Linked DNA regions of Macaca mulatta. The protein of the gene in region 1 binds, or shares a complex with, the protein of each later gene. Links are inferred from orthologs where the notes say so. Each region holds a gene or a part of one and is shown on either strand. Other genes may lie near its edges. The genes, in order: RBL2 and LIN52.

The links.
Region 2: RBL2 (region 1) and LIN52 share a complex: the UniProt entries of both Homo sapiens proteins name them as parts of the DREAM complex. The link is inferred for Macaca mulatta from reciprocal best matches to the Homo sapiens genes RBL2 and LIN52.

What each region holds. Positions count from the first base shown.
Region 1 is NC_133425.1:48,945,930-48,956,211, forward strand, and holds part of RBL2 (retinoblastoma-like protein 2), read left to right. Parts: intron 1-288; coding exon 289-392; intron 393-1,980; coding exon 1,981-2,118; intron 2,119-3,014; coding exon 3,015-3,179; intron 3,180-4,948; coding exon 4,949-5,060; intron 5,061-8,022; coding exon 8,023-8,292; intron 8,293-8,493; coding exon 8,494-8,774; intron 8,775-8,861; coding exon 8,862-9,038; intron 9,039-10,282. UniProt on the Homo sapiens protein: Key regulator of entry into cell division. Directly involved in heterochromatin formation by maintaining overall chromatin structure and, in particular, that of constitutive heterochromatin by stabilizing histone methylation.
Region 2 is NC_133412.1:147,295,595-147,304,991, reverse strand, and holds the end of LIN52 (protein lin-52 homolog), read right to left. Parts: intron 6,203-9,397; coding exon 6,042-6,202; 3' UTR 4,087-6,041; downstream 1-4,086.

The DNA.
Region 1 (10,282 bases):
TAGCGTGGATTTGTTTTGTTCAACCATAGAGGGGATAAAAGGGTGTAAGTCTTAAATAATATTATAGTTCTTTATGTGCAAATTCATTTAATAATTTTAGAAAAATGTGACTGTTACCATGAAGAAAATTAAGGTATCTTAGGGATAATTAAAACACCAGTCATAAGAAGTTTGTATATCTAAAGTATTGGGTTGGTTTTTAAATTTTATTTTGTGAGTAAAGAAGGATGAATGGGCCTTTATTTTCTTTGTGTGCCATTTTTGTGGATTTTTTTATTATTTCTACAGAAATTGCCAGCAAACATTTTCGTTTTGCGGAGATGCTTTACTATAAAGTATTAGAATCTGTTATTGAGCAGGAACAAAAAAGACTAGGAGACATGGATTTATCTGTGAGTAAAATAACCAATGTATTGATCAGCACAGTAAAACATAATTTCCTTCCTGCCCCATTCTGTAGGTTGTTTTTTTACTTTATTTATAGTCTCCTTTCATGCACAGAAGTTTTTAATTTTGATGAAATCCAATTTATTTTTTCACTAGTTGCCTGTGCTTTTTTTTTAATGTGTGTATGTGTGTATGTATGTATGTATGTATGTATGTATGTATGTATTATTTGAGATGGAGTCTTGCACTGTCGCCCAGGCTTGAGTATAATGGCACGATCTCAGCTCAATGCAACCTCTGCCTCCTGGGTTCAAGCAATTCTCCTGCCTCAGTCTCCCAAGTAGCTGGGATTATAGGCATGTGCCACCATGCCCAGCTAAGTTTTGTATTTTCAGTAGAGACGGGGTTTTGCCATGTTTGGCCAGGCAGGTCTGGAACCCCAGACGTCAGGTGGTCTGTGCGCCTTGGCCTCCCAAAGTGCTAGGATTACAGGCGTGAGCCACTGCGCCTGGCCTGTTACCTGTGCTTTTGGTGCCTCAGTAGCTTTTAATTAAAAAATAATAATTGTTTACAATGTTGGAAAATTATAAGCAAAAAGAAGAAAATAAAAATCACCTATGATTAATGTCATCCTGTGATAAACATATTGACTTTTGGTACATGGTCATCTAGCCAGTCACCTGCCTGCTTGCTTTTCTGTTTTTTTGGGTTTGTTGTTGAGACAGAGTCTCACTCTGTTGCCCAGGCTAGAGTGTAGTGGTACAATCTTGGCTCACTGCAACCTCTGCCTCCCAGATTCAAGCGATTCTTGAACAGTATTGCCCAGGCTGGTCTCAAACTCTGGACCTCAAGTGATCTGCCCGCCTTGGCCCCCCAAAGTGCTGGGATTATAGGTATGAGCCACCCGCCTGGCCCCTTTCAATTTTTTTTTTTTCTTTTTTTTCTCTCTTTTTTTTTTTCAGCCAGAGTTTCACTCTTGTTGCCCAGGCTGGAGTGCAGTGGTGCAGTGTTGGCTCACTGCAGCCTCTACCTCCTGGGTTCAAGTGCTTCTCCTGCCTCAGCCTCTGAGTAGCTGGGACTACAGGTGTGTGCCACCACACCTGGCTAATTTTCTATTTTTAGTAGAGATGGGGTTTCACCATGTTGGTCAGGCTGGTCTCGAACTCCTGACCTCAGGTGATCTGCCCACCTTGGCCTCCCAAAGTGCTAGCATTACAGGCATAAGCCACCGCGCCTGGCCCCCCTTTCAGTTTTTTATAGCACTGACTGTAAATACTGTTTTGAAACATCTTTCTCTGTCATTGTTCTTCTAAGCATCAGGGGGTGTGTGTATTTTGGTTAGAGATGTAATCTCTTTTAAGATATAATAGGTAAGGTTTTAAAAGTCTCATACATTCCTTTAATATGTTTCCTCTACTAAAAAATGGGCTTTATTTATATAATTAAGAAAGGTTTTGTAAGAAAATAAGCATACACTTTGCACTCAGTCAGAAAATGAGACTTTCTTTGGTATTTTCACTTAAATTCACTGGGTATGAAATGACTTTTTAGATTAAGTAAATGTTTCTGAATGCTAATAACTGTATTTTATAGGGTATTCTGGAACAAGATGCCTTCCACAGATCTCTGTTGGCCTGCTGCCTTGAGGTCGTCACTTTTTCTTACAAGCCTCCTGGGAATTTTCCATTTATTACTGAAATATTTGAAGTGCCTCTTTATCATTTTTATAAGGTATTTTTAAAAATATGATATAATGTGGATATTGTAGATGAGACCAACTTCCTGTTGTTAGTCATTTAGTTCAAGTTAACATCTAAGTATATTTATTCTGTTTTTAATTACATAATTAATCACTATTTGTGGAGTAGAAAAGAAATAGAATCTTAAGACCTATGTAAATTTTTTAATATTGTATGAAAGATCCATTTTGGGTAAAAGCTTTGATTCCTCTCTTTATGTAATAACAGTTTTTAGAATACTGTGATTTTTATGAGATGAGAAGGCTTAAAAAAGTAGCACACATGTCACTAGCTAATCTTGTATAGCAGCCTTTTTTTATTTTATGAAAATTAAATACCACTGTAAATGTCAGAAAAAAATGAAAGTTCTCTTTCATGTGTTACAGAGAGGCATAGAGTTAAAGCATTGATTTGGTAGCTATTTCTTGATACTGAGCATATGAGTTTATCTTAACTCTCATAAGATAGTCAAAACTAATTTTTATAGTGGTATAGATTAAATGTTTAGAGATTTTTATATGTATTAAATGTATAGTATAGATTTTATTAATATTAATAAAATTAATATTAATAAATATTTATATTTATTAATATTTTATTAAATGTATAATATAGATTTTACATATATTAAATGTATAGAAATTTTAAGAGTAATGTTTTCAACCTCAATATACATGTATTTTCATTAAAAACTTTTGAAATACATCACAATGTAAACCATTTTATATAATTCACATGGTTTGAACTATAATTATTTACAAAGACAGTAAAAGGAAGAGCAGCTGTTTCAAAATATTTCAACTTGTAATTTTTGACTAATTTCTTGTCTAAATATTCAAAAATATTTAATAATTATTATTCAGTGAATCAGGACATTTTTTATTTCAGGTGATAGAAGTATTCATTAGAGCAGAAGATGGCCTTTGTAGAGAGGTGGTAAAACACCTTAATCAGATTGAAGAACAGATCTTAGATCATTTGGCATGGAAACCAGAGTCTCCACTCTGGGAAAAAATTAGAGACAATGAAAACAGAGTTCCTACATGTGAAGAGGTTTGTGAAAATAACATCTTTTTATGAGAAAAATACATCAATATCTAATCTATTAATAATCCTTTTGGGGATGGGAGGGTGGCAATTGGGTTTAATATGTTGTAATTAATTACACCTTGTTATGAGAAAAACTTGGGACTGTAACGTCGTCCCTCTCTACCCGCAAATTAGGAAGGTGCCAAGAGACAAAGAATGACTCAGACAAGTCCAGCTTGGCAAGTAGATATGTTTATTAAGACTTAGATATGTAGGGGCTGGGCGCGGTGGCTCATGCCTGTAATCCCAGCACTTTGGGAGGCGGAGACCGGTGGATCACCTGAGGTTGGGAGTTTGAGACCAGCCTAACCAACATGGAGAAAACCCGTCTCTATAAAAATACAAAAAATTAACCAGGCGTGGTGATGCATGCCTGTAATCCCAGCTACTTGGGAGGATGAGGCGGAAGAATTGCTTGAACCCCGGGAGGTGGAGGTTGTGGTGAGCCAAGATTGTGCCATTGCACTTCAGTCTGGGCAACAAAAGCGAGACTCCGTCCCAAAAAAAAAAAGAGAGACTTACATACGGAGGAGGCAGAGGTGGTGGGGAAAAATAAAAGACTTATATACAGGGTACTCCTAGGTAGCAGCAGGACAGCTCTAGAGATCCTCACCACCTCCCATTGCTAAGCTGCTAATTTTCTGGCTCTTTGCCTACTATGTGTGTGCACGATGGGACTGTTTTCCTTGGTAGTTTCTCAGATCCTCTCTGGGATGTTTGGGTTATCAGGGACACCTGCTCCTTGGCTGGGCACCATGGCCTTGGCTCACTACCCAGCCTTCAGGGTTTAGGCAGCAGACATACACCCTTAAGTAAGGTAAGTGACCTGTCATACTTCACCCCATGTCAAAGAGGAAACGAGTCAGATAATTTGTAGTTGTCCTAAGATTTTGGTGACAGAGTAAAAATTCAGTGTTCTTTCTTGATTTCCTTATCAGGTTTCTCTCCCATAGAGCAGTGGTCCAACCTTTTTGGCACCAAGGACCAATTTCATGGAAGACAATTTTTCCATGGACAGGGTTGGGGGTGGGAGAGATTTTGGGATGATTCAAATGCCTTACATTTATTGCACACTTTATTTCTATTATTATTACGTGGTAATATATAATGAAATAATTACATAATTCACCAAAATATACAGTCAGTGGGAGCCCTGAGCTTGTCTTCCTGCAACTAGATGGTCCCATCTGGAGGTGGTGGGAGACAGTGACAGATGAGCAGGCATTAGATTCTCATAAGGAGCATGCAACCTAGATCCCTTACGTGTGCAGTTCACAATAGGGTTCACACTCCTATGAGAATCTAATGCCACCACTAATCTGACAGGCGGCCAGCACAGGTAGCAATGTGAGTGATGGGGAGCAGCTATAAATACAGATGAAGCTTTGCTCACTTGCTTACTTGCCTGCTGCTCACTTCCTGCTATGTTGCCCGGTTCCTAACAGGGTCCACGGCCCAGGGGTTGGGGACCCCTGCTTTAGAGTGGTTGATATTCAAACTCTCCAAACCAGTAATGAAGGTTGACTCATATTTAGTATCCAATTACAAGGTTTTGCATTTTTTGACTGACAAAAGTTTTTTTTTTTTAACTTTATTATGAAAATGGGAAAGACAGCTGATTTTATTTAGATGGAATAATCGTTAAGAGACTTTTTCCGCCTTAGATTACTATTGGATTTCTAATTAAAGTGCTGTTTTGGATCCTGGCATTCTGTGTAACCAATTCTTCACAGGTCATGCCACCTCAGAACCTGGAAAGGGCAGATGAAATTTGCATTGCGGGCTCCCCTTTGACTCCCAGAAGGGTGACTGAAGTTCGTGCTGATACTGGAGGTCTTGGAAGGAGTAAGTTTAAAATACTAGGGGAATATTTTGGGGCTTACTATCTGGAAATTTAAATTTTATTTAACCCTATAAGTGAAGTTAATAGGGTATATATTAGAAGAAAATATTCCATGCATTTTTGTGTCACATGAATCACTTAAAAGAAGGGCCTTTAAAGACTATTTAAGAACACAGGAAAATGCATGATATAACAGGTATCTTTTAAAAGGATAGACGATAGACTGCTATATTTATTTAATTTTTTTTTTTCTTTTGAGACAGAGTCTCGCTCTGTCGCTCAAGCTAGAGTGCAGCAGCCCAATCTCAGCTCACTGCAACCTCTGCCTGCCGGGTTCAAGCAATTCTCATGCCTCACCCTCCTGAGTAGATGGGACTACGGGCATGCGCCACCACGCCTAGCTAATTTTTTGTATTTTTGTAGAGACGTTTTGCCATATTGGCCAGGCTGGCCTCGAACTCCTGACTTGAAGCAATCCGCCTGCCTCGGCCTCCCAAAGTGCTAGAATTACAGGCATGAGGCACTGTGCCTGGCCGACTGCTATATATTTAATATGATCCCTATTTTTAAAGTGTATGTTTATTTATGAGCATGCAAAATGGTGGAAATGGAAAAACCAAACTGTTAAGATCATTGTTGGGTGATAGAATTCCTGGTGATTTCTGTAAAATTTTTAAGGCAAATACGTATTACTTTTAAAATCAGGAGAAATAGAAAAGCCTTCTTAAAGATAGAGCTGCATGATCCAGTTAGGTATAGACAAGGCAGTGAGTTAAGACAACTGAGTGTGTTCTACTGTGTTGAGCTGTGCTACCCTAGTTAATGACATTACTGCTGGCCCAAGAAATACAGAAAAGGGCAGTTTTGCTATCCATCTGGTTTATATTTTTTAGGCAGCTGCTTAGAAGATCTGCAAGGTGAAAGGTTTTAGTTTACATATGTGAGAGAGAACTGCTTTTTAAAGAGCAATTCAGTAAATCCAGAGAGTTCTAAATCCTTGGATCCAATTCAAAGAATATCCTTATTTCTAGATCACTTTTATAATGTAATTGGTAAGAACTGGCTACAGAAGAAATACGAGTTTTAAAGTCAGGAATCACTCTAGGCTGGGCATGGTGGCTCATGCCTGTAACCGCTGCACTGTGGGACACCTAGTCGGGAGGATCGCTTGAGCCCAGGAGTTCAAGACCATCCTGGGCAACATAGCAAGATGCCATCTCTACCCCCCCCCAAAAAAAAACAAAAATCACTCTAGGTCAGTGTATACTTAATAGACATGGATGATCCTTATGAAAAGTCCTTATTTTTGAAAGATCTGACAGTTGGTCTTTCTTAGTCTATTTTTGTAGAATTTTCCCTTCCCTAATCTACAGATTAGGAAGACTTGACTTTAAACTTCATTTTCTTTGTACTTATCACTTCTCAGTTTTCCTGAGATCTCTTGATATTTTACAAGAAAAAATGATCATAATGTATTCTTTCTGATTCTGCAGCGTTGTATCAAATACAAATCTAGTAAGTTTATTTACTTTTGTTATCATCTGGAAATTGAAATGTTAAGCCACAATTTATTAGTATTTACTCCTATCAATACTTCTTACAAACTTCCTACATATGTTTTAAAATTTAAAAACACACTGATGCACAGCTCTTAGAGGTGGACACAGAAGAAGGAAGAAATGCTTCTCAAAAATTCATACATTATTGTGAATACTTAAAAATAGACTAAGCCTTAATAGGTTGTTCAGATAATGAAGAAGTTTTACAAACAGTGGTGATTGTTGTGGCCACATTGTAAATGTAATTGATACCACTGAATCATACACTTAATCGTACCACTGAATCGTATACTTAAAAATGGATGAAATGGTAAATTTTGTTATATAAATATATATACATATATATATTTATAAATATATATAAATATATATACAAATATATTTATAAATATATATACAAATATATATATTTATATATTAAAATATACATATTTATATATATATTTTTTAAACCCACAATTTTAAAAAACTAGCCTGTAATACCAGCACTTTGGGAGGCCAAGGCGGGTGGATCACCTGAGGTCAGGAGTTTGAGACCAGCCTGGCCAACATGGTGAAACCCCATCTCTACTAAAAATACAAAAATTAGCCATGCCTGGTGGCATATGCCTCTAATCCCAGTTACTCAGGAGGCTGAGGCACAAGAATCACTTTAACCCAGGAGGCAGAGGTTGTATTGAGCCAAGATCAGGCCACTGCACTCCAGCCGGGGTGATAGAGTAAGACTCTATGTCTCAAAAAATAAAAAAAAATAACAGTTTACCCCAAACCATTGAATTGTACAATTTAAGTGGATGAAATTTATGGTATATAAACTGTTTTAAAAAAATAAATTATGCTTAATTGAATCCAAATCATGCATGTCTACCTTGCTTAAGAACATTATTGAGTTTTAATAATTTTTATATGTGGAAAAAGACAAAGATCAAAATTGATAAAACTGGTGGCGGAATGCTCCTAGATGACATACTACCAATCATGTCCCCTTAAGAAGTAGTGGCTCTATAGTAAAATCACATCTTACGTGAGTGGTAGGTGGAAACTAAATATGGCAGAAAATATTATAGAAAAATGTAGTACAGAAAAAAAGGGTAATTCCTTAAATCATGAAGGTTCTTCAGTAGTGGAAGACAGAGTCGGGTCTGATTTGGGAAAGGGGGAGTGGAGAAAGGAGCACTGCAAGACAAAAAATTCCATTTTAAAATTTGCTCTCAGTTGTGTTCACTGAACACTAATGAAAACTCACTAATGGATATAGGTAAGATGACTTGTGTAATTCTTGTTTGCTTTTTGAATTATGAAGTATTTCAAACACTGTAGTTATTTTTGAACATAACAGCTTGGATGAAAGTCAGATCTGAGTCTCCTTCAGTGAAATGCTTTGTTTGATTTGTTTTGAACCTAGGCATAACATCTCCAACCACATTATACGATAGATACAGCTCCCCACCAGCCAGCACTACCAGAAGGCGGCTATTTGTTGAGAATGATAGCCCCTCTGATGGAGGGACACCTGGGCGCATGCCCCCACAGCCTCTAGTCAATGCCGTCCCTGTGCAGAATGTATCTGGGGAGGCTGTTTCTGTCACACCGGTTCCTGGACAGACTTTGGTCACCATGGCAACCGCCACTGTCACAGCCAACAATGGGCAAACAGTAACCATTCCTGTGCAAGGTAAGGAAGGCAGAGTTGGATATTGAGTTCCTTCTCTGTGGCGTGTATTGAAAAGTTACCCGAGGTTTGGCTAGAGTGACGTAGGGGACAGAGGAGTGATGGGGAGAGAGGGTTCAGGAGAGGAGAAATTGTAAACCTCTGCCTGGAGAACCTCTTATTATCAACATTTTCTTCATGCCTTTTTTCTCTGTCACAAACTAGGTATTGCCAATGAAAATGGAGGGATAACATTCTTCCCTGTCCAAGTCAATGTTGGGGGGCAGGCACAAGCTGTGACAGGCTCCATCCAGCCCCTCAGTGCTCAGGCCCTGGCTGGAAGTCTGAGCTCTCAACAGATGACAGGAACAACTTTGCAAGTCCCTGGTCAAGTGGCCATTCAACAGATTTCCCCAGGTGGCCAACAGCAGAAGCAAGGCCAGTCTGTAACCAGCAGTAGTAATAGACCCAGGAAAACCAGCTCTTTATCACTTTTCTTTAGAAAGGTAATTTTTCACGTACTCTTACCAGAGCATGAGCTTGGGAAATACAAGTGTTAAACACAGTTTGAAATGTTTTTGTTTATCTCCTAGGTATACCATTTAGCAGCTGTCCGCCTTCGGGATCTCTGTGCCAAACTAGATATTTCAGATGAACTGAGGAAAAAAATCTGGACCTGCTTTGAATTCTCCATAATTCAGTGTCCTGAACTTATGATGGACAGACATCTGGACCAATTATTAATGTGTGCCATTTATGTGATGGCAAAGGTGAGTACCATTTTGGAACTGTAAAGGCAAATATAGGTCTTCATTACTGAGAACATTTTTTAACCGCTTTCTTGAAGTACAATTTACATGCTCTATAATTCATCTATTTAAAATGCACAACTAAAAGGGTCTTAGTATATTCACAGATATGTGCAATACTCACCACAATTTTAAAACAGAATATTCCATTATATAGTTATATGAGAGTATTTTTATCCATTTATTAGGTAATACATATTTTAGTTGTTTCTACTTTTGGCTATATGCATAATACTGCTATTAGCATTTGTGTTTGGGTTTTTGTATAGACATATATTTTCATTTCTCTAGGGTATATACCTAGTAATGGATTGCTGGGTCATACATTAACTATGTTTTAACCAGTTAGGGAATTGCCAGACTGTTTTCCAAAGTACTGTACCATTTTACACTTACACAGGCAGTATAATAAAGATTTTAGTTTCTCCACTTTCTCATTAACACTTATTATCTTACTTTGTTTAAATAACTTATTGAGGAGAAATTCACATAACAAAATTAACTGGGGTTTTTTTGGGTTTTTTTGTTTGTTTGCTTTTTGAGATATTGTTTCACTCTTGTCACCCAGGCTGGAGTGCAGTGGTGCATCTCAGCTCACTGCAACCTCTGTCTCCCAGGTTCAAGCGATTCTCCTGTCGTAGCCTCCTGAGTAGCTGGGATTACAGCCATGTGCCACCACGCCTGGCTAATTTTTGTATTTTTAGTAGAGATGGGATTTCACCATGTTGGCCAGGCAGGTCTCAAACTCCTGACCTCAGGTGATCCACCCACCTCGGCCTCCCAAAGTGCTGGGATTACAGGCATGAGCCACCGGGCCCAGCCAAATTAACTATTTTAAATTGAACAATTCAGGAGCATTTAGCACATTTACAGTACTAAGTGTAATCAATGGTTGTATACTCACCACTTCTATCTAGTTCCAGAACATTTCTGTACCTGCAAAGTAAAACTCCTTTCCTGTTAAGTAGTTTCTCCCCATTCTACCTCCCACAGCACCTGGCAATCAGCAATTGGCATTCTGGCTGTATGGATTTATCTGTTCTTAATTGTTTATAGAAATGGTACAATAAGTGACCTCTTGTGTATGGCTTCTTTTACTTAGGATAATATTTTCAAGGTTTATCTATGTTGCAGCATGTATCAGTACTTCATTCCTTTTTATGACTGAATGATATTCCATTGTATGGATAGGCACAATTTTTTTC
Region 2 (9,397 bases), on another chromosome or scaffold:
CAGAGGTTGCAGTGAGCTGAGATCGTGCCATTGTACTCCAGCCTGGGCGACAAGAGTAAAACTCCATCTAAAAAAAAAAAAAAAAAAAAATTGATAATCCAGTTTTTAAAGATGCATGATGGGCAAGAGACACGAATAAGGACTTCACAAAAGATGTTATCCAAATGGCCAATAAACATATGAAAAGGTGCTCAACCTCATTAGTCATTAAGAAAACGCAAATTAAAACCACATTAAGATACCATTTACTAGAATGGCTAGAAGTTAAAAGACTGAGAATATACCTGTTGGTAGGGACTTGGAGCAACTGAAATTGCTGTTAGGCTTGTAAATTGATATAACCACTTTGGAAAACTATTAATATTTGGAAGTACCTACTAAAGCTAAATATATATATATACCCCTATGATCTAGCAATTCCACTTCCTACTTGTATATCCAATGAAAATGTATGTACTGGCCAGGCACAGTGGCTCATGCCTGTAATCCCAGCACTTTGGGAGGCCGAGGTGGGTGCATCACGAGGTCAGGAGATCAAGACCATCCTGGCTAACACAGTGAAACCCCATCTCTACTAAAAATACAAAAAAAATTAGCTGGGCCTGGTGGCGAGTGCCTGTAGTCCCAGCTGCTCGGGAGGCTGAGGCAGGAGAATGGCGTGAACTCATGAGGCAAAGCTTGCAGTGAGCCGAGATGTCACCACTGCACTCCAGCCTGGGCAACAGAGCAAGACTGTGTCTCAAAAAAAAGAAAATGCATGTACCAAAAAAAGACATATATCAAAAATACTAACAGTATTTATTTGTAATAACTAAAAGCTGGAAACAGTCCAAATGTCCATCATTAGTAGAATGAGAAAATAAATCGTGGTAACTTCTTACAGAAATACTACATAGCAATGGGAGAAAATCCAAATGATATAGCTGATGTCATAATTTAAACGCTGATCAAAAGAAGGCAGACACAAAAGAGTACATGATTTGTTGTTCTATTTACATAAAGTTCAAAGATAAACAAAATTATGATAGTATAAGTCACAGTAATGCTTGTCTTTGAGAGGAAGGGGCAAGTAGGGACTAGAAGGGGTACAAAGGAAATTTTGTATTTATATACTAGAAAGGTGTTTTGTTTTTTTTTTTTGAGATAGGGTCTCACTCCTGTCACTCAGGCTGGAGTACAATGGTGCAATCTTGGTTCACTCCAGCCTTGACTTCCCAGGTTCAGGGGATCCTCCTACCTCAGCCTCCCTAAGTAGCTAGGACTACAGGTGTACACCAGCAGGCCCGGCTAGTTTTTGTATATTTTGTAGAGACCAGATTTTGTCATGTTGCCCAGGCTGGTCTGGAACTCCTGAGCTCAAGTTATCTGCCAGCCTCAGCCTCCCAAAGTGTTGGGATCACAGGCATGAGCCACAGCACCAGGCGCAACGTTCTGTATCTTGATCTGTTTTGACCAGTGGTTACAGGAGAGTGTTAATTTTATGAAAATTCATTGAGAGCTGCACATTATAATTTGTGTGCTTTTCTTTATATACATTATACGTCAATGTTAAAGCTTATTAAAGAACAAAAAATAATGGGACAGTAGAATATTTTTATATTCTGAATCAGAATTCTCATTTTAGTGCTTTTCTCTTTTTATTTATTTATTGAGACAGGGTCTCACTCTGTCATCCAGACTGGAATGCAGTGGCATGATCATAGCTCACTGCAGTCTCAAACTCCAGGGCTCAGGTGATCCTCCCACCTCAGCTTTCCCAGTAGTTGGAATGACAGGAATCCTCAGCTTGCCCAGCTCTCTCTTCTCTTTTCATTCCATATCCAAAACTTCAGCCTATCAGATTCACCTACCATTATCCAACCATTCAGTCTTAAACGTGTCTTCTTACAATAGAGTCAGTCAAATACAACTACACCTGAGAAAACAAATCATTGCTTCTATTTTATTTTTCAATTTTTTTTTTTTGGTTATACCAAACCAAAAAGTAAAAGCAAAGTACCAACTTTTTAGTTTAGACTTAACAGTTAGAGATATTTCTCTTATACATATGCCAAAGTCATTATTTCTCTAGATTTCCTGTGACAAGGTACTTTGTGATCATTTACAAATTCCCATGCACTATCACTACCCTTCCAGATCATATTATCAACACAAACCAGTGGCAAGAACCAGAAAGAAATAAAGAAACGGGCACTACATTTGAAATACAAAAACACTCCTTATTTTGTTGAAATTTCTAGAACATCAATAACTTAAAAAACAAACAAACAAAATCAGAAAAACACCAACTGATTTCCCCATGGGCAGAAACAGTCATTCTCAAACCCAAAGGCTGGAAAGAAACTGAACTGCTATGAACACTTTTGTAATTACTTAGTTCTCATCACCTCTTTGTTATACCAAAACTACTTTCAAAGCCCCCCCGCCTCAAAAAAAAAAAAAAAACAAAACCAAAATTCCAGGTCCATTTCACCTCTCAGCCAAACAGCTGCAGTTCTATTTAAGACTGACAGACATTCCAAATGGTTCTTTGCTCCTAATGAGTAGTTAATACTAAGAGTTCACAGTTCTCCAACTATAGCGAAGACAGTCTGAAAACATAAAGTAACATCTTGGCCAACATTTGCTTAAGAAAATATGCCCTTTGGCCAACTAAATCATCTCTTGCCCATGACCCAACAGCCTACCATTTCTTTTGCTCCTAATTTCGATTTATGCAAGGGCATCCTAAGTATGGGAAATGAGGTATGTATGGGAAACGTTCACCTTGCTATTTATCACTTGTATAAACTGATCAATTGTTGTTAATGGATCTACTCATTTTTATTTAGAAACAGTTCACAGAAGAGCTCAAAAATTTAACTGCCTAGAAAATTCAGAGATGTAAGTACAATTTTGTTTCTAAAATGGCATACAACTTTTCCCTGTTTTTTAAAGTAGTATTTTTCCTATTCAACAGCCTAGAATGTTTATTGTAAATTTGGAAAATTTAGAAATTTTTAAAAACCACTCAAGATAGCCATTAAAACATACTGATGTATTTCCTTCTAGCCATTTGTCTATGTTCATGCTCTCAAAAGAAAAAAAAAAAAAGATACCTGCTGTAAAATTTTATATTCTGCATTTTGTCACTTGCTATTATCCTTATATATAATGAAACCTTTCTGGCATGAAATGCCCTTTAGTGCTTTTTTTTTTTTTTTTTTTTTTTTTTAAGAGACATAGTCCTACTCTGTCATCCAGGCTGGAGTGCAGTGGCACAATCTTGGCAGCTCACTGCAGGCTCCACCTCCTGGGTTCAAGTGATTCTCCTGCTTCAGTCTCCAGAGTAGCTGGGATTACAGGTGTCCACCACTACGAGCAACTGATTTTTGTATTTTTAGTAGAGATGGGGTTTCACGAGCTTGGCCAGGCTGGTCTCGAACTCCTGACCTCAAGTGATCTGCCTACCTTGGCCTCCCAAAGTGCTGGGATTACAGGCATAAGCCACGGTGGCCAGTCCTTTTAATGTTTTTTAATGACTACATTGTATTCTCCTGTATGGGTAACACTGTAATTGACCTGCTATTTCCCAAATGTTGAACTTTGTTTTACTATGTACTTTATTTTTTATTTTTGAGACAGAGTCTCACTCTGTTGCCCAGGCTGGAGCGCAGTGGCTTGATCTTGGCTCACTATAACCTCTATCTCCTGGGTTCAAGCGATTCTCATGCCTCAGCCTCCCCAGTAGCTGGGACCACAGGCATGTGCCACCACACCTGGTTAGGTTTTGTATTTAGTAGAGACAGGGTTTCACCATATTGGCCAGTGTGGTCTCAATCTCCCAATCTCAGGTGATCTGCCCGCCTTGGCCTCCCAAAGTGCTGGGATTACGGCATGAGCCACAGTGCCTGGCCCATTTTCTTATTTATCATATTTTCTGCAGAATTATATGGAATGCTACTTTGAAACCAACACCATCCAAATTAATTTATATTCTGCCTACTCTCCTCTCCCCTTCCCCTACAAAAAATCAGAAGAGAATAAACTACCACAAGCATTTTATGGTAAAATCCTCTTTGTGTGTAAAGCCATTTCAGAGGCAATGTTGGGTTTATGAAATGACTAACGGATAAAAGATTTGAATGTTTACAAGCCTTAAAGGTAATTTGAAGATTTGTATATCCTAATTTGTTAACCAAAGGAAAAATGAGAAATAACGGCATGATTTATTTCACAATATCATAAAACATTTTAAAAAACAAAATACTTAAGGCTAAATTGACAATTTCTAATTAAGAAGAATAACCATGATCCCTTCAAGGTGGAGTTCCTGGATTTTATGCTGTAACCTAAATAGGTACAAAGCTAATGACCATGGCAAGATGGTAAAGTAATGCACAAAACAAAGAAAACAAGGATAAGGTTCCATCGGTATTTGAGACACAGATTTCAACACAATGTCTTTAGGGTGCTTTTGAATCAAGTTCCCTGGCTTTATTTTTCAGGTTAAAATAATTTAAATTTATACTTAAATCTTTAACTTCCAGCCCTCGTCAACAGATAGGATCAAGAAACATGAAAAAAAAAAAAAAAAGCTCATCTTCACAATAGAAGAAATGAACATTAGAACAACACATTAATATTTTGCCTATCAAGTTGGCAATGACTTTAAAAAATTATAATACTTGTTATTAGCAAGGATATGGAGTGGGGAGTACCTTTTTGGAAGATAATTTGGCAGTTTGTTTCCCTCTCAATCACTAATCTCCAATTGCATGTAAATTGCAGTCATAACACCTAACGAGAGTTATCCCAGTGCTGATATAATCCAATGTCACTTACTTAAAACACGAGCAACAACAAATATTTTGGACCAATTCCTGTTACTTCAGATTTAAACTTCTGAAACTTTTTTCCAGTTAACAAAGAACTGGATGTCTACCGTATACAGAGGCCATGACAACTTTCTAAACTTGTAGGAAAGTTCAGGAAAAGTTCATAGGTAGGTACCCGAATGAAAAAGCACTACTGTGGAAGAAAACTATACAAAAGGCTGGGCGCGGTGGCTCATGCCTGTAATCCCAGCACTTTCTGAGGCTGAGGCGGGCGGATCATGAGGTCAGGAGATGGAGACCATTCTGGCTAACACGATAAAACCTCAGCTCTACTAAAAATACAAAAACTTAGCCGGGCGTGGTGGCGGGCACCTGTAGTCCCAGCTACTAGGGAGGCTGAGGCAGGAGAATGGCATGAACCCAGGAGGTGGACCTTGCAGTGAGCCAAGATCGCACCACTGCACTCCAGCCTGGGTGACACAGCGAGACTCTGTCTCAAAGAAAAGAAAACTATACAAAAGTCAGTCATTCTACTTAGCAGCCTAATGACCAGCCAAAGAAAATAGGGACTTCACAAGTCAATTTCTGAAGTTATGGATATCCTATTTCACCTATTGATTTCTTTCAGATCAAATAACTCACCGTTCACTATCTAAAACATTACCTGTTGCCTAGGTAATATGACTGAACTAGACATCTTATTAATAACACTAACCTCTAACCTCTACAAATGACATTTACTTATTTCTAAGAAAATAAAGATGCCTTCCTACAAAGGAGCATGTAAAAGAATTATGTGATTTTTGTTGTTGTTGTTGTTGTTAAGCAGGCATCTAGCCTCCTTCTGACTTCCCTGTCATTAATTAGGCTAAAACATCATGGTAAGCTCTAACTTCAGCTTATCCCGTAACATCCCCATCCAGACATTTACCTACTCCTAAAAATTCCAAATCTGAAAAATCTATTGTCAGTGTACTTCTTCCCATTCTTACTGCCACCATCCAAACTCTCAATCCTTCATCCTGGATTCCCACTGTAACTTCCTGCCTCCTGTCTCTACCATCCTATTCTCTCCTGTGCACTAATGCTTCCTAAAGGTGTTTATCTTTCCTATTCAAAAATCTTCAGTGGTAGAACCTTTAATGACACAGGAAAATGCTTAAGATAGAATAAAATTTTTTAAAGCACAAGTTAAAACTACACGCACACACACAACAATCTCAGTTATATTAAAAAAGCATTTCTGGCCAGGCGCTGTGGCTCACACCTGTGGTCCCAGCTACTTGGGAAGCTGAAGTGGGGGACTTGCTTGAGCCCGAGAGGTAGAGGTTGCAGTGAGCCAAGATTGCGCCATTGCACTCCAGCCTGGGTGACAGAGGGAGACCCTGTCTCAAAAAAAAAAAAAAAAAAAGAAAGAAAAGAAAGAAAAGAAGCATTATCTGTGTACATGGTACATGAACGGATGCAAGTATAAATATAAACACACACATAGACACATAAAGGGACTAAAAGTGGGGCCAGGAAACACATGAAATGTTAATAGTGGTTATCTCTTAGTGGTAAGGCTATGGTTTGTTGGTTTTCTTTTTTTTACTTTCTTCTTTACTTTTACAATAAAAAAATTGTAGTAAAATATCTTTTAGTAAAGTGTCTCCCCAAACCATCTATAATGCACACAGTTAATGTGATAGCATTAGAATACTTTTTTTTATTTTTTTTATTTTTGAGACGGAGTCTCGCTCTGTCACCCAGGCTGGAGTGCAGTGGCACGATCTGGGCTCACTGCAACCTCCACTTCCCAGGTTCACGCCATTCTCCTGCCTCAGCCTCCCGAGTAGCTGGGACTACAGGTGCCCGCCACCACGCCTGGCTAATTTGTTTTTTTGTATTTTTTTAGTAGAGACGGGGTTTCACCGTGTTAGCCAGGATGGTCTTGATCTCCTGGCCTCATGATCCGCCTGCCTCAGCCTCCCAAAGTGCTGGGATTACAGGCATGAGCCATCACGCCCGGCCAAGATACTTTTTAAAGAACATTTCACATGCTCCCTACTACCACTGAGTATAACTCCTTGATCCCTGGAGTTCAAGGCCCTCCTCAGTCTGGCCCCTCTATCTCCTTCCTAGTCTTAGTCATTATGAGACCTAATATAACCTGGGGTCTAGATTCAGCCACTCACACCATTCCTTGAACATAGCTGTTGCTTTCAAACTCTTTAACATTCGCTCTACCTAGAATATGCTCCCTTTCCATTTCTACCCATCTCTGTGTTCTTTAAAGTTTTCTTTCCTTCCTTCCTTCCTTTTTTTTTTTTTTTGAGACAGAGTCTCGCTCTGTCACCCAGGCTGGAGTGCAGTGGCATCATCTCAGTTCACTGCAACCTCTGCCTCCCGGAATCAAGTCATTCTCCCGCCTCAGCCTCCTGGGTAGCTGAGATTACAGGCGCCGGCCACCACGCCTGGCTAATTTTTTTATTTTTAGTAGAGGCAGGGTTTCACCATGTTGGCCAGGCTGATCTTGAACTCCTGGCCTCAGGTGATCACCCAACTCGGCCTTCCAAAGAGCTGGGATTATAGGCGTGAGCCACTGCACCTGGCCAGGTTTATTTTCAATGTTCCAGAAATTGCACATATTACTACACTCATTTCCCTTGTCTATAACAGACATCACTAATTGCCTTCTCCTCTGAATCTAGGCTCCCTCTCAAAATCCTTGTCAATTCAATGGTTCTAGGCAGGTCTTACTATAAATGAAACTTACCTGCCACTCCTGTAGCAATCTGATGCAATTGTCCTCTTCTCCCCTATCCATATAGTTCTTTGTACTCTCATAGAGCTTTTCTCCTCTATATTTTTTTAAGAATCATTTACCTTAGTTGTCTTATCTTCCTTTCGTACTAGATTTTAATCTACACGAGGGCAGTAATTATCTTCCTATCCCCTACATAGCCTTGTATGAAGTAGTCACCCAAACAGTTGCTAAACAGGACACTTCATTCTTTTGCTATTCAAAATGGTTAAATATTTGAAAGCTTTATTTTAAAACAATTAAATTGTTCTTGAAGGACTAATCAGTCCAAGGTAGTTTCATCAACTTTAGCTAACATTCCTGTTTAATGTAATAGAGCATTCATTGCCTGATACCACTGAAAACCAACAGAGTCCAAGGATACAAGATAAGCCACTGGTAGGGGAAATTACTGAGATAAGATAACTTAACCCATTTTTAGGGTCTTATATGCAGATATAAAAGGTATTGAATTAATCACATTTTTAGAATTTTTTTGTACTAAGTGGGAGAATCGCTTGAACCAGAGGCAGAGGTTGCAGCGAGCTGAGATTGCACCGCTACACTCCAGCCTGGGTGACAGAGTGAATGAAACCTGTCTCAAAAAAAATTGAAAAAAAAAAAAAAAAAAAAAAAAGGAAACATGTAAAAAACGATGAAGAGATAAAAAGAAAAACAAAAAGCTAAAAATCAAAATCAACAAAGTATCAACAAAGTTAGGCAAGTGGTCTGGTAAAAATCACAAGAAGAGGCCAGGCGCTGTGGCTCATGCCTGTAATCCCAGCACTTTGGGAGGCCAAGGTGGGTGGATCACCTGAGGTCAGGAGTTCAAGACCAGCCTGACCAACATAGAGAAACCCCATCTCTACCAGAAATACAAAATTAGCCTGGCATGATGGTGCATGCCTGTAATCCCAGCTACTCAGGAGGCTGAGGCAGGAGAATAGCTTGAACCCGGGAGGCGAAGGTTGCAGTGAGCCGAGATCAAGCCATTGCACTCCAGCCTGGGCAACAAGAGCGAAACTCTGTCTCAAAAAAAAAATAAATAAATAAATCACAATAAGTTTTTATATAGATCAAAAACCCAGTTCAAGAGAGTCTGTTAGTGGTACAGAAAGACTCATGCTGCCATCTAGAGGTTAAAGGCTAGATGATTTTTCTCCTCAGTCAAGGGCTATTAATTTAATTATATGAGAGGTAGAACTTAATAGGCCTAATAAGGGAAGCCAGACAAATAATTCAGATGTCAGCCCACAAAAATACATAAATAAATAAATAACACAAAGAAAAAAAAATACCCAGGGGCAGGGCATGATGGTTCACACCTATAATCCCAGCGTTTTGGGAGGCTGAGGCAGGACGACTGCTTGAGCCCAGGAGGATGAAGCCAGCCTGGACAACATAGGGAGACCCCATCTCTACAAAAAAAAAAAAAAAAATCAAGTCAGGCATAGTAGCACTCTCCTGTGGTTCCAGCTACTCAAGAGGCTGGGCTGGGAGGACTGCTTGAACCTGGGAGGTCAAGGCTGCAGTGAGCTATGACTGCACCACTGGACTCTAGCCTGGGCAACAGAGACCCTGTCTCAAAAAAAACAAAAAGGTATAAGAATCACAGTTATACTCTCCCTTCCCTCCTTTATATAATAAAATTACAAATCAAAAGAGCTGTTTAGAATTTTATCTAGATAGGAAACAACTTCTAAATGTAAATGATCACTTATTTGAAAATCACATGCCCAGAGGGTAGAGAAGTCTAGTATACCACAGGCTAGCTGTGGAAATTTCTGCTTCCTGA